2 linked regions of the Lepisosteus oculatus genome follow. The protein of the gene in region 2 interacts with the protein of the main gene of each other region in a pairwise test. Links are inferred from orthologs where the notes say so. Each region holds a gene or a part of one and is shown on either strand. Other genes may lie near its edges. The genes, in order: hmox2b and cep126.

Region 1 (17,067 bases), on a different chromosome or scaffold from region 2:
TTATGCTCCGCTAAGGAGCACATCTGAAAGAAAACACAAATCTTCCGCAGTCCAGTGCAACTCCTGGATGTGCCAACCCATTACAGTATTTGAAACCATTGGAGAGTCCACCACCCAGTAGAACTGTGTTCAAACTTTATCATTTTACAACACACTGTGCATGTTATGGTCTCAGAATGAAAGTTTTCAACAGGTTATATACAAGTAAAGTTACATTTCTTATGTATATAAGAGGATGAGATGTATTTAGTAGTTTTCCAGCTTTTCTGACTAATGCTTTGATACACAGGAACACTTGTTCTTGCTGTCTGGCTTTCCTACAGTTCTCCTTTATTTAGTCGTTCATTTGCACCACTGAGTGTGATGTAACACTCTGACTGCTCTACCTTACTGAAGAGAAAGTCTTTGGGAAGGCGTTTCCCAGATTCTGGATTCTGTGGTACTTGAGTCTCGACACGCAGTTCTAGGACAGCATGCTCAAGATGTGGTGCTCTCTGTCTGACACTTTTGCTGAACCTTTGCTTGAACATTTTAAACACATCACACATTAGACAAATGCAGGGCATTAAAGAGAAGCTCACACAAAATGATAAATAATAAATTAGAGGAATAGGTACTAATTAAATATAACATGCATCTGTGACAGGCTGACACATGTTTTACACGAGCACAATGATATATAGCTGTACTTCTCTCTGTAGCACAACCTACACAAATGAACGCAACGAAGTGTGAGTGATAGGTATGTCAGTCTCCACCTAGCCCTGCAAAGCAGATTTTTTGGCTCCAGCTACATCTACTGTGAAAGGGTGTAATTCCTGGGAACCACTACTGAAAAGGAGTGGCCTGGGGCTCAATAGTACAGTCACACCAGTTACTGTATATAGCACACCTCTCAGTTTGCCTCAAAAGCATTCGGTCACAAGACACTCCCAGAATATATGTGAGGAGATACCTGTGGCATCCTCAGTGCATCTCTGACAGAGAGGTCAGTCTCATCTAGAAGTGTCCGAATAGTGTTACATAGTGTACACGTCGTGGTCAAATTGAAAAGAGATTAGTTGGTGTGGTTAATTTTTAAGGAGAAAGTATTGTCTCAGACTACATCCCAGAAGAGATAACCGACCTGTTTGTCTTGGTCTGACTCCAAAGTAAATTGGACTGGGAGGAGACTGATTTTAGCTGGAAACTAAAAGCCATTTTTTGGATTTTTGATTCGGCTAGCAGGTTTCATTAAGACTTTGCCTATGACTTGCTAAGGAACTATTTCTGAAAAGAACAGCATACTGTATGTTACAAAATGTTCTTCATGAAAAGGAATGAGATGACGCCGGTAACAGTCTGACTATGAATTCTTCCAAATTTGAACATGTCATTCCGATGCAAAGAAAATTAAGTTCCAAATTACTTGCAGTCAAACCCGGAAATGCATTTGCAGGAGGAAGTTTTGTTCAGCCTAGCAAGTTACCAGGGACCGTGGAGGAGAAAGAGCATAAGGGAATTATTCATGATGACACCTCACAGTTCATAGAAGTGAAAAACGAAGAATGCAGGGATATTATGAACTACTGTGGAGGATGTTTAGCATATTTTACCATAGAACATATCAGTCAAACTTCTACAGCCTACAACACATTACAAAAATGCAAATATGAAATGTACTTAGGAGAAGGTTTCCTCCCACCTCCAAAGACATGCTGACGTTTTGATTGACTATTTAGAATACTCGCTTTCCCCACTGCCCTGGGACAGGCTGTCAGGGTGAAAACAGGGTGGTAAGAATCCCTGTGCTTCCAGAGGCTTCTTTGCTCCTGAAAGCTCCGATCAGTTGTGTTTTTATTTTGTAGAGGCTGGCCCGGGACCGCAGTAACCCTGCTCACTGGTTTGACTATGGAGCGTTCTTAATGCTCACCTCAGACTATTCCAAGGCAGAAGAGTGCTTCCACCAGGCAGTGGCCTTAGATCAGAGACACCTGCCAAGGTGAGTGCCGAATGCTCACCAGCCCTTATTGTTCTGCTCTCAGTGCATTGCTCTTCTTGTGTCTCTGGTGTGAATTTTAATTTCCAATTTCCATTCTGCATTCGCAAAATCTGCAAAAGAAATCCAATATTTTCAATTGGTTTATTAACTTTGCATAACTTTAGTAATTGATTTGTGAATGGTTTGCATCCAGTGAAGCAATGCAGAAGATGTTGCCATAACTTTTGAACTCAGAAAGACTGAGCCAGCTGCTTGCTTATCCTTTTTGGGTAGGATGCTATGGCCATTTAAGGGCATGTTTTCCTACACAGCCCAAAATGGGTAATGCTTCACGCTTATTGTATCTACTTACACAAGACTGATAACTCATGTCCAAGTAAGACATTAGAATTACTCTGAAATCTTTCACTCATGAGAAAAAAATTGCACTGCTGATGGTGCAATCTTAAGGTACTTCAGCGAACTCACATGCTTCGATCTTTTTGAGAGTTCATACTGGCTGCTTGCTCTGTGTGTAGCCTCCTGCTGTGTGGGATCCTGGCAGAGATGGGAGGGAGGCATGAAGACACAGAGACCTTCTTTGAAGACGCCACCTGTGTGGACCCCTCCAGTGTGATCGCCTGGACTCTGTTTGGTAAATTGGGTTCCTTCATGGGCAGTCATTTTCGGTGTCTCTGTTATAGGTTATGCTTCACTTTTTTGAATCTCCTTGGCTTCCTGGGGTGAAAAAAGAGAAAATAAAACGTGCATACAAAGATACTGAAATTCTGTTTTGCTGAAATGGTATGTTTAATGTGGGGGCTAACTAAACATTAAGCTCTAGCACTGTAATGTCCTTTATCCCTCTTGGTTGATTTCTAGACACAGGCTGTGCGATTGGTAAGATCTAAATCGAGAAGCAGGGCCATATCAGCTTAAAAAGTACAGCCATTTTACCTTTGGGTTGTTTCAGGGCTGTTCTACGAAGGGCAAGAAAATGCAATACAGGCAGAGATGGCCTTTCTGGAAGCCAATAAACAGCTGAAGGCAGCGTCGCAGGTGACTGTGATCTGTGCACCCCAGGCTGAAGATGAACAGGGCACTGAGCGGTCAGAGGGGGCTCCTGCACAGGAGGCCCAGGAACCTGCAGAGATTGAATCGGACATCCAGAGACAGGAGGAAAGAGGTGAGAAGACAGCACCCAAACTGACCACATGTATATATACAGTATATACATGTGCAGTGTATGTACGTATACAGTATATGTACATGTATATGTAAATGTAAGATGTTGTCAAGATGCTACACTGCACTATAAAGCTTTGTTCACAAGGTTTATAAGAGAAAATTATTTTTTGCTCAAATTAATTGGAATTTATTTGAACTGGAATATCACAATTGTATAGACAGCTTTGTCCTTTATTTAAACTTTGTACTTTAAAGTCAGACGAAGTAGAAGATGGAAAAAATAAAGCCATGGGCTGAAAGAGATCTTGAATGCTAGATAGCACCAGATCAATAGAAAATGGTGAATATGTTCTCTAATGCATTTATAGTGGTTAGATATTTACAAATGTTATTAATTTGCCTCAGTAACATTAATTAGCCTAAATTTTCCATTTTATGTGACCATTGAAGTGATTAATACAAAAACAACAGTATGCATTTTAATTAGTTTAACTGCAAAAAAAATACAATACATAACAATTTCGGTAAGTAGTATGTGAAACAGTGAATATCATATATCCACAAGCCAAAAACATCAGTAATGAAACTGTCTTCCTTTTTAGTAATCCTGAAAAGAACAATCTTCCTTCTACTCTTTCAGGCAACAGATGGTAATCGTGTGGCTAGATCTGTTCCTGAGAACAGAGCTCCTGTGATCTGAAATGTGATCTGCGTGAAGTAGGCACGCTCTGGGTCAGTATGTACCTTTGCTTGTCCTGCAGGTGCCGAGGCAGAAACGGAGAGCGTGGCTGCTGTCTCTGAGCACAGTCAGGGGGATGGAGCTGCAGTGCCAGAGCCTGACCTGCCTGTGTCCAAGCCCCCAGAAAGCAGTAGCCTCAGACCTACCACCACTATCTTCATGGAGACTGTACACTTCCTCCTGCAGACCAACGCCCTTCAGGTTAGGACATCTTCCAGATTCACATGACCATTGTCTCAGTGCAGTCATCCTTGATGCATTATGCTCTTTCTAAAGATCCTCTGATGTCTGATCACCATGTGTAATTCTATATATTAGTAATTTCATCATATTGCAGCTAGGGTGTTGTATGGGCTGTTGTGTGCTGTAAAGATGCTACTATAACATATACTCTTTGTTTCACTGGATGTTGCAAAGAATATTTACAGGGAGGATGATTTACATTTGTTTGCATTGATCAACACTACCCATGGATGCAGAAAAATGCGCAAGCAAAGTCTGATCTGTAGACTAATGATGCAATGGAGACCAAAGCAATGATCTTTGAAACTATAGTTCCCATAAGATACTTGCATAAGTATTGAGTTCTTGTTGAGTGAGACTTAATAAAACGAAAATGAATCATGAAAAAAGCACATTTCAGAATTTCACACAAGCAATGAGATTGAAAAGATTGAAAGACCAAGTATGTTCAATGGGTGGTGGCTGGACCTTAGTTTTCCGCCCTGTCTGGCTGTGTTGTAGATGGCTCAACGCGCGCTGGCTCAGGAGCTGCTGTGTCCGGACGGAGGGCCCAGCAGTTCCTATCATGTCGCCCTGGCCAGACTTCACCTCCAGAGAGGGGAGTTTGATGACGCTGATAAGAATCTACAGGAGGCACTACAGGACAGCTTTGAGGTAACAGCACAGCTACAGCCTTTACCACACTTTGTTTTAATGGTTTGACATCTACTGACTGTGCTACTCTGTTACAGTCTTGTGATAACCTTCAGTTTAGTTCTTGGACCAAGTCAGTTCATTCTGAAATACAGTAATATCTCTAGTATTCTATTATCTACAGCATCATTTTCTTGACATTTTTAGAGTCTAGAACTAGAAACCTGAAAACTAGAAAAAGCACCGTCCTTTGGATGAAACATAACACCGAGGTCCTGCCTCTCTGTGGTTGACTTGTGTGGCAGAGCACTTTGAGTAGAGATGAGCAGTGGGCAGTCAAATCTGGGAACGAAACCCCTGTTGGTTTTCAGAAACGCCAAGAAGCTGGAGAAAGCCGTCAGAAATGCACAGCTTTGTGAAACTTTGCCTTTGCAGAACCCAGATGTGTGGGCTCTTTCCGGACACCTTCATTACCTGACGGGGAAGTTCAGCAAGGCTCGGCAATGTTATGAGAGAACCCTGGACTTTGTGACAGACGCCACTGATATTCATCCCATCTACCTCAGGCTTGGCACCATCTACCTGCAGGAAAAGCAGGTCGGTCTTTAAGTACTGCAGGATCCTGTTGCACTGTAGGTGCTGTCGGCTTTCATTCCTCAACGACTCAGAAGTGAAAAGCAACACTCATTGTGTTTTTTCCAATGAAATGTATTGTGCGGTTAAATTTGTTATTCTCAGTTAAATTGGATAGATTTAGTGAATACAATCAAAAACATTTCCTCCATTGTATTTTCTCTTCAGATAGTTGAACAAAAGAACTATCCACAGAAAGCACAGCTTTATAGTTATTCCGTATTGTTGAAGCCGATGGCATGGCATCTAACAAGAAATGGCTGAATAACATCCTTGGATCTGTTAACTACTAGATACTAAAAGGGCTAGATCAGTGAGAAGGCCTGATCTCTTTTTTAACTCTTCTTAAATCACCTTCAAACATTGACCTTTATTATGAGTGATATTATAATGGAAGCATGATTGGAACATGCCTTACCGTTTTCTGTTTTTATACTTTGTTCTGTTGTCTTTCTTATGTCAACACTTTATAACATCGATAGAGTGTCTTGGATGAGAAGGTTGATTCGATAGAGCTCTCCACTGATCGTTTCGTGTGTCTCGCCCCCTCCCAGTTTGAGCAGGCCAAGCGCATCTACCTGAGGGCCTGCAGAGACTCCCCCTCCTGCCTGACCTGGCTGGGGCTTGGTATCGCCTGCTACAGGGTAACTACACCACAGAAAAATGAGCACCCCTATTATAGGGCACCATAGATACGTTTGCTTGCAATAAATTGGCCTGACCTTGCGTTCTGCTGGTTGCATTAACGTACTGCTATGGAGTGGATTATAAGGACCGCGTGTTTCGTACAAGTTTTTGGTCTTGTGAGATTTGTGAGAAGTTTTGTGCCTTGAAAGAATTTCTCCAACATGTTTTTTTATTCCTTTTGGTGTTGCGCAAGAAATCCAGATGACTGCAGTACATTAGCGTATAGTGCTCACTGAGCTTCAGAACATTCCCTCCTTGCAGTTGGAGCTAAATATGCTGAAATAGTTCAATTGCATAGTGCATCATGTCAAAATGGAAAATGAGACTTGAAGGTCATGCATAAAACATATTAAAGTATGTGCATTCTGAACTCAGCCCTAGGCTTCTCAGCCTTATGGCATGTTCCGAGGGATGTCTGGAGAGGATTGTTCATTGGTTGCTCAAAAACACAGGTCTAGTGTCAAGCAAAAGTGATCAAAGTAATATCAAGACATGATACGTTGTAAGATTCCACTTGTGCGACTGCCATTCTCACAACTAACTATATGTGGTTTCAGCTGGAGGAGCTGACGGAGGCAGAAGATGCTCTTACAGAAGCCAACACCCTGCATAATGCCAACCCTGAAGTGTGGGGCTACCTGTCCCTTGTCTGTCTGAAGGTGAGTTTGCTGTGGACATGTATGAGCCCAAGATCTTTCCCTCCATTTTCTAACTGCTTCTTACCAAGGTCCTCCAGGGAAGAGGGGGAGCCAGAGCCTGTCTTGGCAAGTGGGCACAAAGTAGGGTACGCCCTGGACATTACACCCGTCCGTCGCAGGGCGCACATACAGGACAGTAGATACACACACTCACACCAGGTCCAGTCTTCCCAGACAACAGTCAACCTACCAGTATGTCCATGGGCTGTGGGAGAAACCCACAGAAACCTGGGGAGAACATACAGACTCCACACAGACAGCACCCTGGGTCCGGAATTGAACCCAGTCAGATAAATGTTCCCTTGCAAAATCCTAAGCACAGAATTGCCTATGTGGATTAATAAATTGTATATTCCACCCTATGTCCCTTACAAATGTAGGATTGTGAGATTCTGAGCTACGAAGAATTGTACCACACATAAAACTGTTTTAGAGAATACTTAGTGCTCTATCAGTCAGTTTTACAGGTGTTTTATTAGTTTAATATTTTAAACTCAGTCACTCTCAATTATACAATCAATGATACCCATGTATAGTCCTGAATCACTCACAAGGAAGTGTTTGATGTAGTACATTTTTGTTTTTAACGGATAATCATAAATAAATACAAACAATAATTTGAATCAGCAATCTTTACCACTGTGCCACCATGCTGCTCATGTCTTATAATTATATTTTTAATATGATGTTGCACATGGGGAAATCCACATTAATGTAATGTACACAACACATCATGCTTCTATTTTAAAAGGATCATAAAAAGACTAAGAATTTAGCCGTGAAAATGTTTACGTTTTTGATTTTAAGTTTCTGAAAACTGAGTAAACAGTTTTTTCTGAACACCGAGTAAAAAACATTATCAGAAGGCTTTTTATCATTTTTAAGTCACTGGTGTTAAACATTGGCAAGATGTTTAAACTTGTTAAGCTTGTTGCCAGGTGAGTAAATAAGTGGCCAGTCAGTTACCTTACTCTTGCCAACAAGAATACGTTGACTATTTGATAATCCTTCAAAACAGAGGCGATGTTGTGCTTTACGATCAGTAGCAGCCCAAATGTGATAATTTGCACAAAATAAAGGCTTTGTTCTTTATGATGTACAGCATTGCTGTGTACATGAAAGGCCATCCAGAGGCTGAACTGTTTTATTTGTTTCAAACTCTGCTTGTCTGAGTCTGCCTCTAAATATAAGCGATGATACAGAATAATAAGGGGAAAGAGTGTGGCTCCTCCACATAAATTGGGTTCCCTTCTATATGGATAAAGTGTTTTGGGGTCATTTTGGGTGAAAAGTGCTACATAACGCTCTAAAAATGATTAACACAAATAGGTCATTTAAAATACAAACACTTCAGATGCAAGTTTCAGCATTTTAACTGTCGGTTGAAAAAAAACTGATTGATGTGTACTAAATACCAGATTTTTTTTTGCGTTTTGCAGACTGGCAGACATCTGGAAGCAGAGCAGTCCTACAAATACACCATAAAGGTCAGATTTGAACAGGGGCTAAACAGTTGTGAGAGACTTGGCCCTTTAGCAAGCGGCTCAAGTGATCTGAACACATGACAAGCTCACATGCATGAGGTATTAGTGCAGCGACTATGTATTTCTTTCCAACAAGGAGGCTCTGTAGCAGCTTCTCAAACTGCAACAACAATCCAACTACCAACTAACACTATGAGGCTGTTTATATCTCCATAATATTAGCTTTTTGTGATAAGGCTTCGCAGCTATTTAGGGTGTTTCCTGCATTTCCTTTTCTCAAATAGTCTTGCATTCTTACACATGAGAAAACGTCCATGGCTCTGCGCCACAGTGACCAAAGTCTGATGCCACGCTTTCACTCTGCTCCACAGCTGAACCTGCGGAACGGAGCTCTTCTGCAGGAGATCCATGAGCTACAGGAGCGTGTTGGCTTTGGAAACCCCTCCTTCTGAACATGCTGAAGCAGATCAGGAAGATATTTACAGCAACTGTCTGGGATTATGTTCTGTGTTGTTAATACAGTGGTTAGTGAACAACTCCAGTCTTGGAGAACTCCAGTGCAGAAAGAGATCATCCAGGCGTCCTGTTACTGAGTTTTACATCTATGCATGGTCATAAACGACGATAAATGCAGTCTTTTTAAAATAAATATTATTTACAAGGTCTTTATTGTCTTCTTGTGACTTCTTCCCCCTCCAGCATATTCTATGCAGATAACAAAATGTATTCAGTCATCTTTTCTGACCTGGAACTGAAAGCATAACAAAAAAACATTTTAGAGTTTAGCAAGAGGCAAAGAACCACTGAACATCTTGGCTTCAGAACTGAACGAATTAAATAAAAACGTATTTAAAAGCATTACAAAACTTTTTTAAAAAATATTTACAGTAACAAAATGAAAACGGATACTATAACTCAAACTGAAAAAAAATATACGTGCAAAACAGAACGGCCACAGCACCACTCTATCACTTTCTTTGGCGACAAAGAAAAGTACCCCCACCAAAGAGAGAGAGAAAGAGATTTCTGCGATTGAGCAAATATTGACTGCGGAGGCTGAGAATATCCCATGGGCGGCGCTTGGAAAAGGAATCGCTTGATTGGCCAGCCAGCAGCTCGTGGTGCGGGGGCAGCGAGGTCATTTCCTGTTTGCGATGCGGGTCTGATAGAAGAAGGTCAGTTGGTGGGGGATGCTGGAAGTGTTTTTACGAGTTAATTGAAGACGTTGGAGGGCTGCTGAAGTCGCCGCACCAGAACGTACACACAGGGGTTTATAGTCCCTCGACGTGTACGCATACGCGTTCGTGGTGGGAAAGTAGAGGCAGGTGAGGTTTGCGGGTTGTAGTAACCGCAGTGCTTTCGCGTGTAACGAATGTCCGTTTCTTTACAGTTCGGGACCAGAGGAGGTTGCGCGTGGGTTACCACTCTCGAAGCTAAGTTACACCTTGAGAGAGGTCGGAATTAGTGTTGTCTTTAAATTCAGGTGTGTCCAGACCTGCCGCACATGACTGCCCTCCCCTCATAGCAAACGTGTGTTCTCGAAGTTTTCCCCGCATGTCCACCGGTTTTGTTGGCGTCGCTGTCGCCTGCGTGCGCTGGGAAAGTGTTGCGACCTGTACATCTGGGGAGCGTGTGAGTCTGCCGCAGCTGGCGAAGAAAGCCTGCTGTGTCCGGTGCTGCTTTGTTGTTGCAGTGCCCGAGTTAAGTTTCCCTTTCCTTGACAGTAATGGCGACCTGGTCATTTTGAAGCTGTTGTTAATCAGCTTTAGGTTCTAGCCCTGAGGGGTGGATGTAGCGATCTGAAGTCGCACTTTTTTTTTTTAAGCACGCTTGTTTCATGCCATGTTCAGTGTTTCATTGCTTATATGATCTCATTTTGAATGGGGGGGAAAAACAGCACTGAATTGTAGACGGGGCTTTCAGTGTAGCTCTGTAGAGTTAGGCTTTAATCTTGGTTTTAATTGGATTCTTCTGGGTTAAAGAGGCTGGATCCTTCTTTTATCTATACAGATATATGTATATATCTATACAGCCCTTCCCGAGAGACGCCTTTGCAGACTGACCTGTTGTTTACCAGGCAATAGCGTCTATAGGTTACTTTTACAGATGAAGTCGTCTCTGGGGGCACAGCACATGACTAGGATATTGATGAAGGGGTTTGTTGAGTAGTATAAACCTGATCATCGCCATGTGAAGATTTTATACAACGGGTGAAAGCCCCTGCCTTCATCACCTGTTTGAGAAACGGAGGTAGATTCATAGCGCACCAAAATCCCCCAAAGATACATTTTCCTTTTTTGGAGTTGTTGTGGTAATAAAGTGTTGTTGACAAAAACATCCTAAATTATGACTAGAGTTTATCCCAATATTTATTTTTGCTTGTTTATGCAAAATAGTCAAGTTAACACATTAAGGTTGTATTTTATTTGTTGTGGTTGGCAAGTGAGGGATCTTGACAGAGGAGAATGATGGTTTTGCTGTGCCCATGGACAGCTCTAAGGACACTTACTGTAATTGTTGTCATGAAACTTGGGAGCATGTTATTGCTGTTTACACTCTCTAACCTGTCTTTAGCCAGTGCACAATGGGGAGCTGAGCGCAAACAGCCTGAACTTTCCAGCCCCTGGTCCACGGTGCGGCTGTCTTTGTACCGTGTTATACTGCAGGAGTAGGGGGGTGGTTGGGTGGGCTCTGCTTTGTCTCTGCTTTGTCTCGGCAGGGTGGGGGGGGACCCCTGTCCTGTTGTCAAAAGAGTGACGTGCGCTGTCCCTGATCCGCCCCGCTGACTCAGCTAGCCCCCCAGTGTGAGGGGAGACACCCCAGGGGTGCCTGCTTGCCGGGATGGGCTCTGGCTCCCCTCTGACCCTGTACTGGATGAAGCTTTTAGACGATGGATGGATGTTGGCTCTAGTGTAACATTAGTGCCTTTTCTACAGGTCTTATTAAGACAAAATGAAGTTAATAATTGCTTACACGTATAAAGCACTTTTCTGGACACTCCACTCAAAGCGCTTTACAGGTAATGGGGATCCCCTCCACCACCACCAGTGTGCAGCCCCACCTGGATGATGTGACAGCAGCCACAGTGCTCCAGTACACTCGCCACAGAGCAGCTACCAGTGGGGAGGAGAAGAGATTGATGAATTTTTTCCATTGAAAGATCCTGAATTGAAAAGCAGGCTGTGGAATATGATTTACTTAGAGCACAAGTGGTAACTTTACTGTGACCATGTTACTACTACTGGAGTAGAGAGAGAAAAAATTCCCATGCCAAACAGTAGCACTAAAACGAAACTGTACCACTAAATTGGAAACCTGAATGATTCTTCATTCCAGAGAAATTGAGGTATTATTTTAAAAAATGTTCCCCCCCCTCTCGAACGCAGAATAACTGGTTCATCTAGTCTCAAACCGATTACAGTCATCTCCTTTGGATCTATCGTCTTGTTCATTTCAAGAAAGAAGGAAGCAGGTTTTATTTCTTTTTTAATGCCACATAATTCTCTTTCTTAGATATAGCTCTAATATTCACAATTTCCTTACGTGTCTAATGACGTTCAGTTACAATTTCCATGTACTCTATACTGCATATCTGTATACATATATCTGTATAAATTATGCTATTGTTTTTTTTTCGATTGGTTGTACATATTTGGTATTCTTAAGATTTCTTTTAAAACCATTAGGATAAAATTATTTGTGTAAACTTCCATGCAAGGCAATATAATAAACGAAGGATCTTTCCTGGAGGTAAAGTGTGTGATTTGTCATTGTCCATTCTTTCTATTCTATTTGACAGTAACTTTTTTATAAAATAAGGAAGCTGCACAGCTGGTTTCCATATGTTTTTAGCGTGGGAGCTATGTAACCCAGCGGAATGTGACCCTCAGTGTTAAAGTGGATTCTGGAGAAAAGCTCTGCTTCCTTGGAATAACTAGACAAGGTGTTTTTTATTCTGTTTTGTGCGGGTAGCCTGTTGGCTACCTGACTCTGATTGTGCAGAGCGTTATTGTAGTTTGAGTTTTGATAACTGTACTGTATAGGGTTATTATAGGAGAGTTTTCGAATTTGCTATTAGTAATGTACAAGAGGAACATTTAGTCCCGTTTTTTAAAATTCCAGCCCCACTATGCTTTTCTCCATCTATATTTTGTTTCTTCTGCGGTGACCTTGGTAAGGAAAGTGTGGATTAAGAGGTATGTATACAGTAGCTGATTGACATGCAGCGTTCCCCTCCATTGACACACTCTGCCTGACCTGCTGCTTGTTCTTTCTCCAGCAGAGCCCTGTGAAGAGACACACGACGCCTGCCACAACACAGAACAATGCCCACAGAGAAAGCAGAGGGCCCCGGGCAGATGGAGGACCTTCCCAATGGGTCGAGTGTGGCATATGAAGACCACGAGGAAGAAGAGAATGTCAGGTAAGGGGAACCGGCCTACAGCGTTCACACGCTAGTGCAGAAATATCCCACCATCAAAGAAGACTTCTCTTTAAATGTTTTTGCTGGATAGCTTGGGAGACATGTTTGAAATACTTTAGCACTGGTTGGTTTCGTATGTGATCTCTTCTTTCAAACTGGTATTTTTGGCCTGATTGGCAATTATTATTTTCCCCATGCATTTTAAATTAATTGGGAGTAAACTTCCAGGTCCTCAGATATGCTCCTCAGTTAATTCAATGTGCTGCAAACTCCACAATGCCCTAAAGGAGAGTTTGTGCCAATTGGAGGAGTGGCACATCTTTAGTAGATTATTGTACCTGGAGAGAAACTTACTCAGCTGAGAAGGGGAACTTGTTTAATACATGTGGCATTATAGAAGGTTTGTAAACTAGACAATGTTTTATGTGCTTAAAGACACATTTGTTCATTTTGCTAAAATGTCACTCTGCATTTCACTTAGGAAATGGATGCATGACCTAGGAAACATTTAACTAGTTAAGTGAACTTTATAATGGAAGGAGGACAAGATTTTTAAAGATTAGGAATTTTTTTAATTTAATGAGAAGTTAATACAATAATACAATAGACACTTTTTAGTTAGAGGATGGTCAGTGCTTAGCTCTCTTCAGGGGTGGCAGGCTTGAGGAATTTCGGGCAGGGAGGGGCTCCTGACTGATGTCCACCTCAATCTGGGGTGCGTATCTCTTGTGCCCCCCCGTGGTAACACTAATGAACTGCACTCGTCCATCGGGGTGCACTATCTCCTGTAAGCGGGGGCAGTGCAGGGCCTCCCACAGCCTCTGCTTGATGCGCCGGCCCAGCTCCAGGCTATATGGCTTGGGCCGCCCCTTGGAGTTCATCCTCATGGGCTCCACCACGGAGTGGTACACCTGGCGGTACTCCTCCACACTCAGCCCATGGATGAGCAGCGGCTCATCGCTCCTACAGGTGGTATGACTGGGGGAGCCGTGGCCGGCAGCCGAATCGGGAACGGGGGCGTTTCTCTTTGTCTCAAGAGTTTCTTTCGGCCCCGCTGTTACGTGCGGGTGTGTTGGCTTCGTCTGCAGCACTGCTTCCTTCAGTAGTCTGTTCTCCATCTGCGGACAGACAAAAGGGTTGAATTGAAAAGACATGCCACCCAAATCGCAGAACAACGCAGTGGCACAGTTAAAACCTTCAAGTAAATTCTCCAGAGTATTCAAGAATAAACCAAAGATTAGATGAGTAAGGTCAAGCAGCTGTGACAAACTATTAATATTTAAATAAAACCCTTGGACAGTAGTAACTTCTAAGGTATGTGATCCACTACAGTTTGCCTTTCCTGCTGGACTCTACCTCTGCCTGGACGATGGAGCCACATGAGTTGTAGGCAGTTGTCCAGTGAGTGCGGGAGATGGAGTCTCCAGCCTGATCCCGGGCTGCAGTGCGAAGGCAGTACCATGGGATTGCTGGCTGGCTCCTACACTCTCCATTTGTTCCAAAAGAGGTTCCACACTGGATGGGCACCCCTCTGTGCTGGAACATATCTGGGTCTTGAGGAGGGTCCAGGATCTTAGAAGAGGACCTGGAGGGACTGGCTGCAGATGGAGGAGGAGCACCAGTAGACTTTATCATCTTCAGTCTCATTTTGATGGCAGTGGGATTCTTGGGGTCACTGGGACACATGATTGATTCCCAGAGGACTTTATTGCCACCATTGGCTTTCTTTGAGTTGAAGACCTGGCTTTGGTGACGGCTCTCCACACAATAATCGCGCAGGCGGGTGTTTGGTAAAATGGTCCTGCGCAGGCTGTAGTATCCTGCAGCACTGCGCTGTTCTGATTTCTGAAAGTTAAAAAAAAAACATTAGGCACAGAGCAAAAATTCTGTTCATGTCGTGTAATACTTAAAGTATTTAATCTCTTATATACATATTTTGTCTATGGATGATATTGAAATCTACATAAGTACTTTAGGTGAAGGTAGATTGCACTGGAATGAAAATTATGAGTAGTGTTTAACTTACTTAAAATAATCTTACAAATGATTAGAAATTAAATTTACCACAAATGAGCTACATTTATAGGAGTACAATGAGATATGCTTACAATCTCCATTAGATCCAAAGATTTCCTTCCTTTTAGAAGTATGTTTCAGGAGAAAAATGTAAAAGCTGTTATCGATTGCTCTTTCGATTAGAAATGTTTTTTTATATTTGGAATAGTTGCTTACCTACAAACCAACATTCTATATCAATTATGATGTAGCATGTGACCTCATCTCAAAATTCTATGAGCTGTTTTAAATATAAACACCTGTTCAAGAGGCTTGGAATGGGTTATATGTTTATCCTGTTTTGTTAAAAACCATTTGAGATGGACCCATAGTCTTGTGTGGAGGGCCTTATAAAGCTAGGATCTCAGTTCTGAGTGCCAAGTCCTCTGGGAAGGAATCATGACTTAGGCTCCCCAGGAATCCGCAAAATGATTGTTTGAAAAGTTGCTTAGTAAATTGCTTAAATTTACCACAAATGAGCTACATTTATAGGAGTACAATAAGGTTTGCTTACAATCTCCATGAGATCCAGAGTTTTCCTTCCTTTTAGAAGTATGTTTCAGGAGAAAAATGTAAAAGCTGTTATCGATTGCTCTTTCGATTAGAAATGTTTTTTTATATTTGGAATAGTTGCTTACCTACAAACCAACATTCTATATCAATTATGATGTAGCATGTGACCTCATCTCAAAATTCTATGCGCTGTTTTAAATATAAACACCTGTTCAAGAGGCTTGGAATGGGTTATATGTTTATCCTGTTTTGTTAAAAACCATTTGAGATGGACCCATAGTCTTGTGTGGAGGGCCTTATAAAGCTAGGATCTCAGTTCTGAGTGCCAAGTCCTCTGGGAAGGAATCATGAATTAGGCTCCCCAGGAATCCGCAAAATGATTGTTTGAAAAGTTGCTTAGTAAATTGCTTAAATTTACCACAAATGAGCTACATTTATAGGAGTACAATAAGGTTTGCTTACAATCTCCATGAGATCCAGAGTTTTCCTTCCTTTTAGAAGTATGTTTCAGGAGAAAAATGTAAAAGCTGTTATCGATTGCTCTTTCGATTAGAAATGTTTTTTGATGTTTGGAATAGTTGCTTACCTACAAACCAACATTCTATATCAATAATGATGTAGCATGTGACCTCATCTCAAAATTCTATGAGCCGTTTTAAATATAAACACCTGTTCAAGAGGCTTGGAATGGGTTATATGTTTATCCTGTTTTGTTAAAAACCATTTGAGATTGACCCATAGTCTTGTGTGGAGGGCCTTCAATAAAGCCAGGGTCTCAGTTCTGAGTGCCAAGTCCTCTGGGAAGGAATCATGAATTAGGCTCCCCAGGAATTCGCAAAATGATTGTGGAAAAAGTTGCTTAGTAACATTTTGCAATTCCTTGATAGTTTAGGGATATTATTTATTAAATTCATAGATCAAGTCAAGCCCTTGGTATATTTCTACTTAAGTGACGTTGAATACGCTTGAAGAAGTCATGTGGAGTTCTTTCAGTCATGGTATTGTTTCGAGATCTGGGTGGCATGTCCTTCTCTGAACCCGAGTCCTTGTGTTGGTGGAGAATCACCAGCTAGAGAAAGCGAAACTGGAACGAGATCCCTGAAAAAAGGAGGTTCTAGAAGTTATGTAAATAATCACAGACTGGATTTACGGGCAGGGCTCCTTCAGTGCAGTCCCCAGATGTGAAACCCCTGGATCGTCTTGGCAACTGCATTTTAATCACTTGGCGTATGATTCGTTTTCTGCACACTGTGGGGATTGCATGTTTTAAGAGGGGCAGCAGTGAAGAAACGGGTCTCTCTTTGGCATCGCCTTAGAGTGAGTGTACCTTGTTGTCCCTGTTTCTGCACAGGCCTGGAGACTTGTCAGAGCTGCTGAAGGAGGGCACCAAGGAGTCCCACGACAAGGCGGAGAACACGCAGTTTGTCAAGGACTTCCTCAAGGGCCGCATCCGCAAGGAGCTCTTCAAGGTGAGCTGCTAAGCAGGCTGAGCGACAGGCTGGCACTTTTTCCTGGAATTGCTTTAAGGCCTTTTAAGAGAACGACCTTGTGCAGAGATTAGGGGTCTGAGCACAGATGAGGCAGAGAGAGCAGATTTGTCTTGCCTTCGAGAGCTGAAGGATGATTACAAGCAGCCACCAGCAGAGCGTTCAGGCAGTTGGGATTTCTAGGGAAGGACGTTTTACTCTCCCTTGTGAGATCTACGGGAAGGAGTGTGCTGCCTTCGCAACTCATGTTATCAGCACTGAAAATTGAGTCTCTTTTAAGTCAAATAATTCTTATAATTCTAATTAATAATTCTTTTTAAAGGA
Region 2 (16,987 bases):
GATAAACTCCCCAAAGCATTTCATGACTGGCGTCTCATGTGAAAGGGACCTGTGTTTGCAGTACTAATCCTTCAGCAGGTCCTGGCAGGTGGAGCTATGGGCTAAAATTACAGACTGACTTTTTCTGAAATGAAATTCTTTCTTAACAAGCTTTTAACTCTATACACAAAGTTAAGAAAAAGAGACTGACTGTGCTTGGTTAAAGGCACTAGCTTAGTCTGTGTAATTGAGAGTGTGCTATTACCAGATGTTTGTTGTGAAATAGGAGCAATATGCATCCAGAAAACTGCAAACAATGGCTATTGTGATTAAAGCATATTAAAAGGCTCCAGAAGGTAAGACTTTTTGTAAAGAAATGTATCTATATTTATCTATATTGGCACCTGCACTTATTCGTTTCATTACCTGATAGTGCAAGGTAATATTGTTTAGAATGTTAGACATATTTTCTTCACATAAGGAAAAGAACAAATACAGATTCAAATTCTGGAGCTCAGGCCTTTTGTCAGAGACTTAAATAAGTATCAATGTCAAACTGATCTGGCATTTACAATCAGTGCCTCTCAGTATTGAACTGTTTTAACTACTAGAATGCGCTGTTTCAACGTTCCCAAGGACATGTAATAAAGAGGTGACATTAACCGAGTAAGCATAGTTTCAACACTCATTTCCCATTTTCTTCATCCAGTGTCCAAAAAGATCAGCACTTTTTATTTTCATTACTCTGCATGCAATACAGCAACCTATAAGGTTGTTTCTTTGAGAAGATACCTGTTAAATAAGGTTTACTTGCACCTTTGATGTTTCTAGTGGTGGAAATAAAAGCATAACACACAAAAATGTATTTCTACAAGTTCTGCTTAGCACCTTCTTCAGTTCAAATTCAAAAGTGAACGAAGTGGGGCCCAGCCAGGGGGAGAAGTGGTGTTTAGTTTGTTTTCTTTACGAATGACAGTAAGCTGGCACCCTTCACTGAGTAAGACATAAATGTATCCTTGAAGAAATACAGCACTGGCTCAAAGAAACATGTCAGCTTTGGGCAACATAGATTTTAGAAATGTTTACTACAGAAAAGAAGCCAATTAGCTAGTGTGTAATGTACATAATCTGCTATTTATTTAAGTGACATTAAATCAAAGGCTAAAAGTCAGTTTAAATAAACATCAGAGTAAAAACTACAAAAAGATACACAGGATCCCGCATCTTGTGATTGTGATAATTCATGCTGTACACACCCACACAAACTTTCCACAGTCTGAAGTTATTATTTGATGTAAAGAGTGGTTAAAAACCTTGGTGGTAACACTGTTTTTTAAAATAAAGGGGCTCTCCACTCAAACTCGGGTATTTCATTACTGACACAGGGGATAGTGTGTGACAGAAAGACCAGGATATGTTTGTGTGAGAAGTCCTACCTGCAGGCTATTCATCTTTCTCTCCTCCAGAAGGCGCTGTGTCTCCAGAAGTTCATTCTGAAAGAGCATCTGGCTGCTCTTGAGATTAGTGCCACTCTTCTCCTGCATCAATTTGGCATAGGCTACTGCGGCAGACAACTGCTTCTGGTAATGAGAGGCAGTGGAACTTGCTGAAGAACTTGGAGAGGATGTGTAGGTCCTGTAGAAACAGTGTTATATTAGGAGGTCTGCTTTTGCACACCTGTCGTGTTATAGTTAAACAATATTAGCTATAAATGTGACTCAAGGACATACCAAAAATATCTGCAGTTTTGGAAATGTGAAAGCATTGTTTGATTTTGACCATCTAAAATAAAATCATCCTGTCTTAAATAGCTTCATCTGCCTTGAAAGAATAAGGTATAACAAATTACTCCTCATGAAACAAGTGAAAGTGGCTATTAAAATTTATTTGAAGTGGGTGGTAAAACTTCACAAGAGCAAAGCTTTTGCTTCCTTAACTCTTTAGGAAGAAAAATTCAATAAAAGACTCAAAGAAATTGTGAAAACCTCTAAATTCAACAGTGCCATCTGTTGGCTCCTGTTTGTCTTTTAATAGAATAATTTACAATCCATCTTGTGGACACTAACTATAACTGCAATTCCCAATTTACTGATGTGAATATATTATGATTATCATGAAATTATCATTTTACTGTATCATAATTACAATAAGGCTTCCATTAAAAAAAACCACAGTCTTACAAATTTGGAATGTATTCAAATAACAAATATACTTGGAAAAATAAACAGCGCACGTCCAAAGTTTTACATTTTGGGGGGGCTTTAAGTGCTTGTGTACAATTAGCTATCCAAAAACTAAACTGTGGCAGCTTTTTATACCTGTTGCTGATAGGGCTTCTGGAGTAGAGTGAAGAATTGAGGGCTGAAGAACTGAAAGAGGGTTGAATTTGATTCAAAGCTTCTTCTAATCGAGGGGTTGGATTTCTGTAAACTAAAAAAAGAAAAAAAAACTTCTGCCTTAAAAAACTTCACGTGCAAAGTAAAGTATTTTATTTTCTTACATTTCTTAACTGTTCAAGGAGCATTTCACATAAGAATATCCCTCGTTGGACTGCAATCTTCCAGAACTGGATTTGTTCCTCTCCAGAGTTTTACAAGTGCATTTATACTTGCAGGAAAAATACCTCCAGAGATTTGAACATGTTTAAAACAATGTTTTTTTTCCATAATAGCGTAAGATCCTGGAGAGCTTGACAGCAATTCTCTTGTCAGCTAAGGATGAAAAGCATTCTCAGTTGGGCACTAACAGTTGGTAAAAAGACAAATTGATGGCAAAATGCTCCAGTGTGAGAAGAACGTCCCAGTGGCACAAATCAGAGAACCACTTAATACTGAAGAAGTGACAATGGTTTCAATACTAGCAATACGGCCCTAGCTAAAATCCTGTTCTGTACTGTGGCAATACAGACACTCTATTTTGATAACATCAGAAATGAGCAAGTGCTGTATTCAGTATGGTTAGCTCCAAACAGTGTGGACATTTAAGTAATTTAATTGCAGATCAGGTCTATGTTTTCCCACCTTGTCTATTTCTTTGTGAGGGGGGGAGATGAGCTCTCTGAAACCTCTCGGTTGCCTCCTGCACTTTCTGTTTGCGCTGCTGGAGTATGTCCTCCCTCAGTTTCTGCTCCCTGATGTCCTCTTCCCTGCGTTTCTCCTCCAGAGCTCTGCAGAAAAATGGAAAAGGTATATACTGTCATCAAGGTACAATTAACAAGCAGGACAAGAAGAAATTAGTGAAACCAAGGAGAAACTGAACTACTTACAATGAGAATACATGAAATAATTATGTTAATTAAATTAAAACAATCATGCAAATTCAATAAATTAACATTCTGAGGTACAGAATGCTAATTTTGCTTAAGAAAGATCTTCAAACTAATCTTAAACTTCAGTACAGTCTACCTTAGTACAAACATAATCATTTAATCTTACATTCTAAGGGGCAAAATTACTTATCATACCTGAATCTTGTCTTGTTCTTAAAATGCAAAAACTTTTCCGCATCCTCATTAATTATTCAAACTCATTACTCATAGCCACGTTTTAGAAGCCAGACACAGGACAGGTTCTTTGAACATACAGGTGATAGAAAGGCTGATCAAATACGGTTCAAAAGTATTCAGCCTGGATGGATAATCTTTAGAAGCTTTGTTCAAGCGATTAAAATAACTAATAAAAGTTTCTTATACTAAAAATGTATCGATCCCAACTGCCTTATTGAAAACAGCAACACAAACAAATTGGTAATACATAATTGGATATAAAATAAATAACATAATACTATTTAAATGGTCGTCACTGTGTTGACTATCAGTTTTAACATTTCAACTATATATTCTGTACAGTACCATTAAGATATTACAGAATAATCTGGGTTAGAGACTTGTAACAAAAATTATAAATTGGGATGGAAATGTATTTAGATCGCTGTATTGTAATGAAATATTATGACTATTGCTTCTTTCAACACAATATTGAGATTAAAAAATAAAAGACCATATTTGTTTTGGTGACAAATGCAACTCAGTAGATGAACTCCAGCTGTTAAGTGTCTATGACACCAGAGATCCTACTGTATATTAATACAGGATCTTTGCAGTATACTGTATCAAGGCTGATGTAAATAATAGTTTTTTTTCTAATTACAAATAAACTTAAATTTCTAACCTGACAGCATTCTAACAAAGACAAAGAGGTTAAAGCGATGTCCAAGTTCAGTACAGAATGAAAGTAAATACTAAACTGCAACTACGACAAAGATAGCAATTTGAATCTATTCTTAGAAGCTGCACAAAAATACTTCATACATGTCTTCTGAAAGTAATCAGTTTGTAGTATTTAGTCTACTATCATTACATACAGAACATTTTTTTTTCTACTGAACCTTTTATTTTAATCTCTTTCCAGGAGCTGCTAAGATGCTGAGATTTAGTAGGTTATTAATTGTCTGAGATTTGTGCTTTACCTTGGGATGAACTCATTTTAAGCAGAACACTTCAGTCTAGCCAATCTAATCTTGCCTCTTATAAATTGCATTACCGTTACCAATTAAGAAATCTAATTTCAGCAGACGAAATCCTGCTGGCAAGTGAAGTATTGAATAACAGGATCTCTCTTTTTTCCTTCAAACCATTTTCACTGACTGCTACAACTGTTCTGCATAGGAAAACTACACCATCAGCTGGATTGGTGGCAATGTACAGCCTCATAATTTAACATTATGGGATTGGTGCGAAAACATACTTTTTTCTTATATGTTTATGTGATATTAATGCTTATCTTTAGTGCTATAATAAAAAAACTAACAATTCCAGTGCTTCCTGCAAACACATTAAATGTGATTGTCAATTTCTGTTCAAGTTGCCTCTTTTCTGTTAACAGATGTTTTTTAGTACAACTTTACAAAAAGTTTTCTACATGCTGTATGCTGAAAAACAATGAAAACAGTCATGTGACTTCGGAAAAATGCCACGTACTCAGTATTTGATACCTGAATTGGATTAATTGCCAAAATAAAGTGATTAAGAATAAGTATCAATAGCCCTTCAGAAAGTAATTAACAAAAATGCTTCAATTAATGCAAAGAAGGTGAAAGATACAGCCGCGTCTTGTTTGAATAATGAGGACTGCTGGCTGATGTTGGCATCGCTGTCCATGAAAGGACTTGTTAATGTGTACAGTAGCCAGCTTTTTCTCCTGATCTGAGTCCCACAGAACACTTGTGGGAATTATTCACCCACACCATCAATAGAAAAAAACACAACTGGCCAACCTTCACCATCTGGCTGCATGTGGTGCAACATCCCATGCACAGTCTATTCACAACTTTCAGGTCAACACTGCCAAGATTGTCTGAATGCTTAGGGAGGTCAAATACAATACTAACTTTGTAATGTCTTCATTTTGACAGTATGTTTAATAGTGAAATGGTCTCATGATTGATCAGCTCTGTATGTAGTGCACAGTTTTTGAGTTCTTGTTATGATATATATTTTATTTAATCCAGTAGATCATAGTGATGCATTTCTTTTCTGTATGAGTATAAATTATATATTTTTGTGGATACTGCAACTGAATTTAACCTCTTAAAATACAAGAAAAAACAACATACAGTACCAAACATACCTCCTACGTCGATTGGTTTCCAAGGAGAATTTTCGAGCACGAGCTCTGCATGCCTTCTGTTCCTCAACCAGAACCTGACGGTCATCTTTCAACGGCCGTTCTAGCTCTGTTTTTATATTTCTAACGTCAGACAACGTTAAGGAATTTCAGGACATGGGGGTAAAAAGGAGATTTTGCCTTCACCAGTTGCGCAGTAGTCCAGAAGCACATGCACATTAAAATATAGGCCTGTCAAAGAAGGGTCTAGCATAAAAGTTAAAAATAAAAACCCACAAAGAGCCAGCCTTTAATGAGCTGAAAAGGGAAGCTTTTGTGTTAATAGTACACTACCAGTGGTCCATCTTTATTTACCACAAGGAAAACAATAGTCTGCAATACCTAGTTTCTAAAACATTTGTTGGATTACTGCAATTTCAGAAAGTTTCCAATCTGAATTAAGTACTAGGGGGGGAAAAAAGGAAAATTGTAAGGTCATTACATTAAATTAATTATGAAAAAACTGAAGATAAGAATCCATCCATGCTATCAAGTGACTGAAAACCATTCACAAAGCTGGGGAAAGGCTTTTCTTCTTGCTTGTTTGTTGTGCTATGATTGCCAAGTGCAGCGGTCACACAAATTATGCCACTCCCTTTTTACAGTGCAGTATGGTGGTCGCTATAATGGCAAAGGAGGTAACGGAGCAGACAAATGTAAGACACTTTGAAAAGCAGCAATACTGTATACAGGTATATATATCTAAACATTTTTTCCTTGTTTTGTAACTTAATTGTAGTTGCTATACCTCTTACCTCTAAATGATCTCTGTCAGCCAAAGGCCAAAATACTCAGATCAGATTGCAAAGTGATATGACTTTGACAGATACACATAGACTCATACACACACGCATATATACACTGGCATCAATAGCGGGTGAAGATACTCATAAGGAAAAATACAAATAAATTAGCTAGCTAGTCCAAAATGAGGAAAAAAAGTGTAATACAGTAAGTGAATATTCTGTGATGACTGTCTATCAAATTTGAAGCACACTGCCTGAAAATATTTGGTCTTTTAATGAATGACTATACAGTACCTACACCAATAGTAATTGAAGGTGGTTAACAACAACAACAACAACAACAACAACAACAACAACAACAACGTCATAAAAAACATTTCTAGAACTAGGATCTTGAGGTAGCTTCTAGCAAAAGAAATAGACTTATAACTAAACAGACATCGATTTAAGGATACGAATAGGAGCTGGCCCTCTGGACGTGCATCCTGAATCCCAGGATGGGACGACGTTGAAGAGTTCTCCAAACTGGTCACAATCTTCATTCAAACCAAGTTCAGCGATCGTACACGTATTTTAAGAAACGGATTATCCCCAGCCTGTATTCCGAAATGCGCTAGCCGGCTGTCCTCCGCTTCACGCCAAAATAAACCCACAGTTTGTGTGTGAACGAAAACGTTGAAACTGCGGCGCGATGTGCCATTGTAGTCAAGCGCTCGTTATGATCTTCTGTTGCTTCTCATTTTTTTTCTTATTTCCGAATTCAGCGTTGACAATTTGACTGGGTTTTCCAGCTAAGTAAAAGTTTTGCTCTGCTGAACCTCTAGATTAATTAGCCCCGCCATGTTGACAACCAGAGACGCCGCTTCCTTGACAACGGAAACTAGGCGCAGGTTGAGAGTGGGGCCGAGAAAAGGAGGAAACGACGGACGGCAGGAGAAGTCCGGCAGATTATAGCTGTTATCGCAATTATAATTCCTATAATAATTATTTATTCTTATAAATAATTATTTATGTTTACCTATCCTACTACTACTTTATTATAACTGCAATAAACATGGACACAATTTGTCGATTTTACACACTTGATGATGATCAGCGTACTCTTGTGTTTTAGGGTTAGGGTACAAAAAAACTAAGGCATAGACTTGCTTGATCAAATAATTTAACTGACATTTTAATTCAGAGCTCCTCCCAAAGAATAACAATTTATGTTTTGCATTTGGGCAAATGTGTGCTACTGTTCTGAATTTCTGATGTCAGCTAATATTTCATGTCTTTTCAATAATTACGATCTTTTTCTGATTTCAAAATTATTCTAAAATCCCTTCCAAGGCACAATATTATGCCTTTTGCTTCACTGAGCCTGTTTGCCACTACTCAGTGAAACCTGTTATTCACTGTTGGGTGTGTGGTCTTCCAATAGGCTAACACTTCAGATTTGTAAATACTGTATGAAAACTTAAGTCAATAAACATACTAGTCTAGCAAACATATTTCTGTATGTTGCATATTGTACGTAATTCTTTGCAGATGCAGAGTACATAAAATCTCACTTTACAATGTGCTCCCCCTGGTTTTGTCTATAAAACCTGAAGGGCAAGGAATTTATGTGGAGCTCCAAGTGTGAACAGATGAACCATACTGCAAAATACTATGCACATTACAGACACAGAATTACATTCCATAAGCATCTTGTACATACCAGTAGTTGTAGGCAATCTTTCTTCAATACTGTGGAATTTATATACACTGTATTTTTTACTCTATTTTTAGGAAAATAACAGCAAACTTGTGCTGCTTTCTAAAGAAGCTGTTAAAGGGTTAAAGTTACATTTTGCAGAAATGTTATTGTTTGTTTCTTGGTAAATCTGAATTAAGAAACAGTGCTCAACATTTTTGTCTAGCATTTCGCTTTGTGATATGCCTGTGCAATACAAAACTAAACAGTGCTAAAAGAACACAGCAGTGCACAATATTTAAATTGATTTGACACAGTCCCAAATCATATCCTGTCCTGAACGCTTTCAGCAGTTGAGAGAAAGTCATTTGTTTTGGCTCTTTGCTGTTGTGCAGATGCCAGCAGAGCGTCTTGAGTTCCTGAAGCTGTGGTACCGAGGGCTCATGAGACTCAGTAAACCGACCAGCACATTAGAAAACGTCTTCCTAAAGGAAAATGAAAAGGCTTTTCTTCCCAGTTTTGTTTGTATCTGTTCTCCATGACATCCAGACAACATCGACCAACTCTGTGGTATGTATTTTTGTTAGATATCTTAAAATTGCTATTATTTCCTGTACGGAAAAAAAAAAACTGAACCAGAGCACTTGAATTTAGTTCTAAATTGAATTTCGGAGTTGTATGTGCAGTATTAAAGTGTGTTTTAAAGTTTGCATTTCTTAAAAAACACAAGATGCATGGAACTGTTTGGTAACATAGATGAGCTACATACATACATATATGCATCCACTGTACATGTTTAAGGAGACATCTGTGCTGTAAAATATTTTCAATCCCTTTTTACTTTTTTTCATTCTTCAAGACGTACAGTATGAGTGAATAGAAGGGACAGATTCACATTCACACTTAGGGTTGCTTCTAATGATTTAAGCGTTAATTAAATGCACTCCTAACAGAAAGCAACCTTTGAAGTTTCATTGGATTTTTGTACATAGAGAAACAGGAAACAGCTTGCATGTCTCTGTTCAACATTTGATAATTAATTCCAACCTTAACAAACTTCAAATTCTCCTGGAGTAAAGAGGAGAAACATAACAGTTGTTCTTGGTATGTCAGCCCAGTCTGTAGTCTAATGCATCTATAATTGTTAGATATTTGTGATCTGTTAGATTTAAAATTAGGAAGAATTTGCCACAGTATTAACTATGATCATTTATATGCAAAACACATTGGGAAATTCTAATGCAATGTCACCATTAAGAATCTACCTAAATACTGAAGCTAATCTCCTGAGAAGAAATTGATTGTTTCTGCTTCCAATGTGCCATGCTAATGGGTTTTCCCCATTCAAGTATTGAGGTCTTGTGGTTTATGGGGTATATTCTTTAAAACAAAATAAAAAAAAATGTCAGTATGATGTTGTGGGTGACATACAGAGATTAGTTATCCTTGTTTGCTATTTGAGGAATGAGATATTCAGTTCTATAATAAAAAGATAAACACAAACTAGGGGATACAAGAAAATGCATTCCTGCCTGGGTCCTGGCAAAAACGTATTCTTGGCCAGCAGGCAAAAAGTACAAATATAAAACAGTGTTTCCAGAGACATATTTAAAGATACAGCTCACATGAGGAACTAAGTAAAGCTGAAAAAAATATTAAATCCACTTATGCACTGGCTAAAAAAATAAATAGTCTACCTTCTGATATTTTATTAATGTCTTAGTAACAAAATGAAAAGAAATAAAATGAAAAATGTGTTTCATCAGTTCATTATTTTTGGAGGTACATAAGATTTAGCTAATCAAAAACATAAGAAAAAGAGTTCACTTGTTTACATTTTAGATTAGCGGGTAACTATAGAACTTTATAAAACGCATTGGTTCAGATGACTTAACATAAGCCTATGTGATCCCGATCAGTTTGGCATGATTGAAAATGTTTTCTTTGTCTGCTAAAAGGAAATCAGTGAAAGCAGTTCAGCTATAAATCAGTCTACAACGGCGAAGGGAAAATACCATGGTGAAAACATGAAACCCAGACTCTCCAAGCCATCAAGAGAAAACAGGCATGAGACCTGCCTTACGCAATGTGAAATGTCAGCAAAGCTCATGAAGGAGGAGAAACACCTGATGTGCAGTACGTACACTGAGGACTGTGGACTTGACTTTCTGTTTTTAAAAGTAAAGTGTACACGGAATGGGTTTGGCTTATATCCACGACCCGTATACCCTGAATTGATACCACAAATTAATGCAGTTTTATCTATCTTTTTAAGGAAACTTACACCATTCTCTTGTTTCCTACACGAGGAGCACAAGGAAAATGATTAGAGGCATGATGGAGGATCACCAGAAATCACTGGAGTTTCTTTCAAGCCAGGCAAGCTATAGCAATGTACATTTTCTTGCATGAGATGTGTGGCAGTTAGGAATGGATAACAGCCTCAAAAGAATCCAAACACAGTTGGACTATTTTCGTGGAAATGTAATGACTTTTGCCGTTTCAGAAGGTACTAGTGACATATGAGAGTGTTTTTTGAGCTTTTCTAGTTCTAAAACGAAAACTAATTTTTAAACAGAAAGCAAAATGTTGACATTTTTATTCAGAGCATTCTTACCTTTTGTATTTAGAGCTCTAGGAGGAGGAGGAACATGATTCCCTAAAGACTAAGAGAGCATTTAATTCCTTTATACCTAAAACATTATTCAATTGTGGAATAGTGTTTTCTGGTAGGGATCTTCTTCTTGTTTTATGTTCATTATGTTTATTTATTGTTTTTTTGGGGGGAAAAAACAAGTCTCTACAAGTTAATTGCCTATTATTTTCATCTTATGGTAGGAGAAGAGTTCTGATTGAGCGATGTTGTTAAATGTTGTTTTGCATTATGGCATTGTACTGTTGTTGTTATTGTATAATCATTATAAACATGTAAAGTGTTTATGAGTTCTTGATATGCCCGAGAGGAATTTCCTTAGGGGCAATAAAGATTAAATTAATCAGTTTTATATACACCTTGAACTTTGCTTTTATTTTCACAGGTAAGGGAACTGATGAACAAAGTTCTGACACTCAGTACAGAAGTCTTAAAGAACAACATTGAGCCATTTCCACATAAGCCAGTACAATCACATGGTAAGGTCATACATTTACCTCTCTCATGTTAAAGCCTATTTTTTTGTCTTTTCTACACTGGTCACTGATGTATAAAGCCAAATCATTGCCAAAGCTCTTGACTATGAGTGTAACTACGACTCCTAAACTGGTACCAGAAGGTATTTGTATTTGTGTTGGAATATTGATATAATTGTTGTGAGCTATGGAACTGTGTATGTTATTATTGTGTAAACTGGCTTTCCCAAGAGACTCACGTGGGGCCTCCAGCCATAAATGTATATACTGTATGTATAAATGATATACTTACTGTATCTATCTGTATATACTACATTTCAAGAAGATGACTGTAACGATCTTTTATGAGAAATTATCCCTAAAGGGATAATTTGTGTAGTGTTTTTGTTAATTAAATTATAAACTTAAATAGAGAATAAATAGTGAATATAATAAATATATGGTATGAGAGGCAAATCTAAATGTTATTAAAGTGGAAAACAAAGTTAAATGATTGGTTGATATTTTTTGTCCCACAGGTGGAAACATCTTTCTGTGTCATTTACAGTCTGATTCTGCTAATATTTTCATGTTGATTACTGTTTCTAGGGCGTGATTGCAGTGATATTATAGACACAGTACAGTCCATTTCCAAAACTCCAAGTGGTATTTACATAATCCAGCCAGAAGGACTTGACTATCCATTTGAGGTAACAAATAAACTATGTTGAAACACACAAAATGACAAAACAGACAAAAACAACAAAAATGTATTGGTTTATTGGTTACAAATTCATTTGAGCCATCTAGCCCATTTAAGCTGTTAGTAGTTAAATGATCCAATTATCTCATCCAGTTGTTTCTTGAAAGAAGCCAGGGTATCGGCTTCAATAGCACGGCTGGGAAGTTTGTTCTATAATCCCTCAATCCTTTGGGTAATGAAGTGCCTTCCATTCTTAGTTTTAAATGCACTTCCAGGTTATTTACATGTGACATAAATTATTTTAATCTATTTTCTATTTAAAAGTTAGAGCCCTAAGTTAACAATTATCTAACAAGTTAGCTCTTAAATGAGTAGTTGGACGCATTTCTACCCGTTTCTGTTTTCTTAAGAATATTTGGATACATAAGATTTGCTTTTGTACAGCCTCAGCCATCTCACAATGATTCAGCTTATCACAGCAGCCCACCTTGTACAGAACAACAGGCTGTATCATTCTTACTGAAGTCAAAATCAGACCTGATACTTCTGTCTCAATAACCAGTGATGGTTCTTTAAAACTGTTCATTCAATTTTAGGCAGGCCTGTCAAACATCTGGTTTTAAATATTAGGTGTTTGGAAGAAAACTAAAAATAACTAAAGCTGTTTTTTAACTGCAGGTGTTCTGTGAAATGGATTATATGGGTGGTGGATGGACTGTAATTCAGAGGAGATCAGATGGCCTCATTGACTTCAAAAGAGAATGGTCAGAGTATATGGATGGATTTGGCCACCTACCTGGTAAAACATAATAACTAAAGTGACAGTAGTCATAGCATGCTGTAGAATAAGATTACATAAATTACATTTAAACCGTCATGCTCTTTACACCTAGAGGGCGCACTACTTCTGTCCAGTTCTTAGTTCCCTGTCATTATTCAGGTGTGTAGCGCATTTACTTCCTGTATCTGCTCTGCTCCTGGCTCAGCACTGAGGGTACGGATCTCCTGAGACCCACCTAGCAGCAGGTCGCTCCTGTCCATGGACTGAGGGCATTGGTTTCTTTCTGGCATTGTCTGACCCCCTGAACCTGGGCTAACCCCTGTGTTGCCCCTTTTACCGATATGCATAGGGTCTCTACTGCTCTCCTTTTCACTCCACGGCATGCCCTTCCGACATTCGTGACATAAACATAGCAATGTACAGATTCATTTTCCGAACTGAAGCCTGCAGATCAGGCTGAAAGAATCCATGACAAAATAGCTATATTGAAAAAACGTGCTAATGTTACAGGAAACTAGCTAGAAGGTGACCGTGTCTCTGTGTAGGAGAGCACTGGCTGGGCCTTCGCAAGGTCTACCACATCGTGAACCAAAAGAACACAAACTTCCAGCTGCACGTGGCCCTCGTCTCCGATGACGACACTTCCTCCTACGCCTCGTATGACAACTTCTGGATAGAAGACGAAACCAGGTTTTTCAAGATCCACCTGGGCCGATATGCAGGGAGTGCAGGTGAGGGGAACGCTGTTCTTTCCTCACGATTTGCACATTTTCTTTTTCTTTATTGCTGAATATACTGTATCGCAACGGGGGTTCAGGCAGGCGTCCTTGCCGCATTAGGTCGGCCCCCCACCGTCGGGGGCTCGGACCCGGGACTCCCGCGTCACTCAGCAGGGACACAGCCCGGTGAGCCAAAGAGAGATCTCTCCACAGCCCAGGGGCTGTGGTCCTGCTATCACAGGGAAGGGCGGCGACGTCACCGCTCTGGTAAGCCGGCTCTTACACACCCTGATGGCCGTGTGCGTTACAATACTATAGAAGTTGCTTTATTTTTCTTTAGTTGTGTTATCTCATCCCGAATACAATCCACAAGACTGTTGTCATTTTTTTCCCCCCCAGGAGATGCGTTTCGAGGATACCGCCAGGAGGAGAACCAGAACTCGATGCCGTTCAGCACGTCGGATGTTGACAACGACAGCTGCCGTCCCTTCTGCGTCTTTGATGGCCAAGCCGTGGAGAGCTGCAGTGCCAGAAACAACGGTACAGGCTGGTGGTTTAACCAGTGTGGAATGGCCAATCTCAACGGCGGTGCTCCGGATATGGAGCGTGCCATGCAGCCCCATATCCACTGGGACACATGGACTCTCAATGGAGTCCCAGTCAACATCAAATCTGTAACCATGAAGATTAAGAGAGTCTACAGTCCCTTCTTCAAATAATTCTGAGTTACGGTCAGCTGCTGACTTGATTGCAATCCCAAAGGGAAATCAATAAACAAATAAAAATAATCTTCCTCAAGGTGGCCGGTTTCTGTTTAATGGCAAAGTTAAAGCTAAAGAAAAAAACGTTTTAGCCTATGACAGGGTTTGAAAATACAGTATGATAGCAGTACTAGGAACTGTCTTTGTATTTTGGGATTTTTTTCTCATCAGGTGAAATTACAGGGTCTATGATGTTCTGGTTTTTAGACCAGACTTTTAAAACAGCGGTATCTTTGAAGTTTGGTCATATGGCAGGATATTCCAAAGGTGAGGAAGTAAGATTCCTTTCTGCTAGAACAGTGGGCTAGAGAGAGCTGATGACAAATACTAAAAATGAACACGTATTTTATTAAATTAAAAATCAATTAATGCAGTTATATTTGACTAATATATGTTCTGTTTTCTTTCACGTTTGCTCTTTTGCTCTTGAGTGCTATGAAATTTAATACCAGATGCACAGTCTGTAATAGGGAGGGGTTGTAGTCATAGTTGAAAGCACCACTTTCCTCTGATCACAATGCCTGACGTGGCAGAATGAATGTGGGGAGCATATGGAAGCGTTTAAACTTTTCTTTGGCTCCAGGTCCCCTTTCATTTCTGAGTTCACAGGGGGATCATCAAGTCAAGGGGACTACTGGGAAGGAGGCCGTCAGATCTGATACCCTTATTGCAAGTCTGGGTTGCTATCCCTTAATTCGATAAAGTCTATTATCTCTCTCTCCCCATTAAAGTCGTCATATTAAAAAAAAAAACTAAAATGAAAATTATAATCTTTAAGTTCATATGGAAAGTACGACGTCATTAGTATTAAAATATGGAATAGTTTCTTAGCCTGATGTAATTTCCAAATGCCCTGGTGAATTCATCAGTGGCTCTTGGCGTTGATCATACTGTATTCCTGAGAAAGGGACTTTTAAAGTAGCCGTCAATATGAATTTTTGTATTGAAATTTAGTTGTAATTTATTTTGAGAACCTAAGATATGATGTAGCTTGGAGCATTCGAGATTTTTAGTTAGAATTTTCTTGCTGAAGACTTTGAGGAATTAAGCATGCTTTTTCATTTGAAAAAAACAGCAGCAAAATAGGTTACTAAGACTAATAATGTGCACCCAGAAAATTCAAGTTGCATTTACCCCCGTGTTTCTTTTTAAATTTGCTTACGGGTCCAGTTTATCTGTTAAAGGTCGTGTCCATGTGCTAAGTTAACAAAGTTAATCTGAACACTTGAGAAAAAGTGTGACTGGAAAGCTTTTTCTAAAATGAAGTTTGGAAAGGGGGAAGGTCAGTGTAAGTACAGTAAATGTTTACCCGCTCACATTTTTACATAATTTAATTACCTTGAAAACAGAAAACAATTACAAATTACCTACAGTCCAGTGTATACGGTATTAAAACAGCTCCACACTACCTTTTGTATCCATGAAAAGGGATATACAGTAAACTGGCAAGGCAAAAGTGCTGCAATTTCTTTTTAAGTCTGCAGGGGGCGTAGCACCACAGTAGTTTCTGAAATACTCATTGAAAGCTGGATTGTTCGTTATAAGATTTTATTTCAATGGAACAGGTAGATGACTTCCAACACTACATCGTTAATCAACATTGACTATTTTTAAATCTTATGATTATTGTATCCCAAAACAATTACTTTGTAGTATTTTGCAAAATGTTAAGGTTCACTTTGACATTTGAGAACATTGTGTAAAATGTTAAATAAACATTTATTTGCTTTCTGCAACAATAATTTGACATCTATACCCTACTACTGATTTAGAACCCATTTTAATTAAACTAAATATACAGGAGGTTGGCATTGGAGTGCATTGGGAAGCCTGGTTACTTCACAGCGCCAGTATCTTTAGGTTCAAAGCTGGCTCTGTGTGGAGTCTGCACTATGGCATTTGAAACTATTGTTTTCCAATAACCTATGACAATTTTTCAAGATGATCTGTGTGAGATCCCAGACTTAAATGATAAATCAATGCTTGCTGTAATAGCCACAATACAATTTGCAGCTCTTAAATGCACAAGTAATGGGTACCAGTAATGGTAAAAAATCCATTAGGCTTCTACAGAATAGCTTGGAATGTTCCATTGTGTTATTTTGTATCACATATTTTTATTCATTTAAGATGGGCATTCTTTCAGTGGCCTCAACATGTTACCAAATTTACTGAGCAATTTGCGAATATATATATATTGAATACACTGTTTGTCTGTTTTGCTGGAAGAAACGTGCTGCTTTCCCCATAAACATTTCTCATGAGGTTGAGTGCTGAATATAATATTAGATAATCCATCACTTTTTTTCCTCTCTAGTTGTCTATCTGCAGAATATGTGGCAAAATAAACACCCATCTCAGAGTTAGTAATGAGAGACCTTTCGTTCTGGTGTCATGCTGGTAATGTGGGCGAATCATTGTTCCTTCTGATAGGCATTGTTAGAATAATTAATGTACTTCACACAACGGTATAATTTTGCAGATGCTCATAGCTTGTAAGCACCAGAGAAATGACCCCAGTCCACACCAGTCCTATATTTACACATATTTACACAAATTAGAATCTTCATTTCTTTATCTATTGTAAATGTAAAAGTACAACATGGACTTGTGGCGGCTGTTTGTTTTTTAAAGCTGGAAAGCTCAGCAGCACACGTGCTCTTGTAAGACTAAACACAGAACAGTTACTGCAGAGGGATTAAATATAATTGCACTGATCCATGTAAGAATGACTAAGCAAGTCAAATTGCAGTGTTTGCAAGACAATTTAAACAAAATTAACAGTTAACCAAAACCAGGGGAGTCATGGGAAGAAACTAACATGTGCAGGATGTCGAACTGACAAGCTG

What was found.
Region 1: the proteins of cep126 (region 2) and hmox2b interact in a two-hybrid assay, tested with the Homo sapiens proteins (2 studies listed by BioGRID and IntAct). The link is inferred for Lepisosteus oculatus from reciprocal best matches to the Homo sapiens genes CEP126 and HMOX2.

Annotation. Positions count from the first base shown.
Region 1 is NC_090714.1:3,703,626-3,720,692, forward strand, and holds the start of hmox2b (heme oxygenase 2), read left to right. Parts: upstream 1-9,397; 5' UTR 9,398-9,590; intron 9,591-12,544; 5' UTR 12,545-12,590; coding exon 12,591-12,688; intron 12,689-16,607; coding exon 16,608-16,725; intron 16,726-17,067. Other genes in the region: cfap70 (cilia- and flagella-associated protein 70), read left to right, coding at 1,848-1,981, 2,500-2,615, 2,934-3,146, 3,910-4,088, 4,632-4,784, 5,199-5,360, 5,951-6,040, 6,641-6,742 and 2 more.
Region 2 is NC_090700.1:8,336,321-8,353,307, reverse strand, and holds the start of cep126 (centrosomal protein of 126 kDa), read right to left. Parts: upstream 7,224-16,987; 5' UTR 6,873-7,223; coding exon 6,844-6,872; exon of another isoform or gene 6,840-6,843; intron 5,727-6,839; coding exon 5,607-5,726; intron 3,146-5,606; coding exon 3,000-3,145; intron 2,410-2,999; coding exon 2,298-2,409; intron 1,615-2,297; coding exon 1,416-1,614; intron 1-1,415. Other genes in the region: angptl5 (angiopoietin-related protein 5), read left to right, coding at 8,562-8,636, 10,025-10,202, 10,342-10,445, 11,105-11,198, 11,784-11,884, 12,556-12,676, 13,204-13,389, 13,777-14,096. UniProt on the Homo sapiens protein: Participates in cytokinesis. Necessary for microtubules and mitotic spindle organization. Involved in primary cilium formation.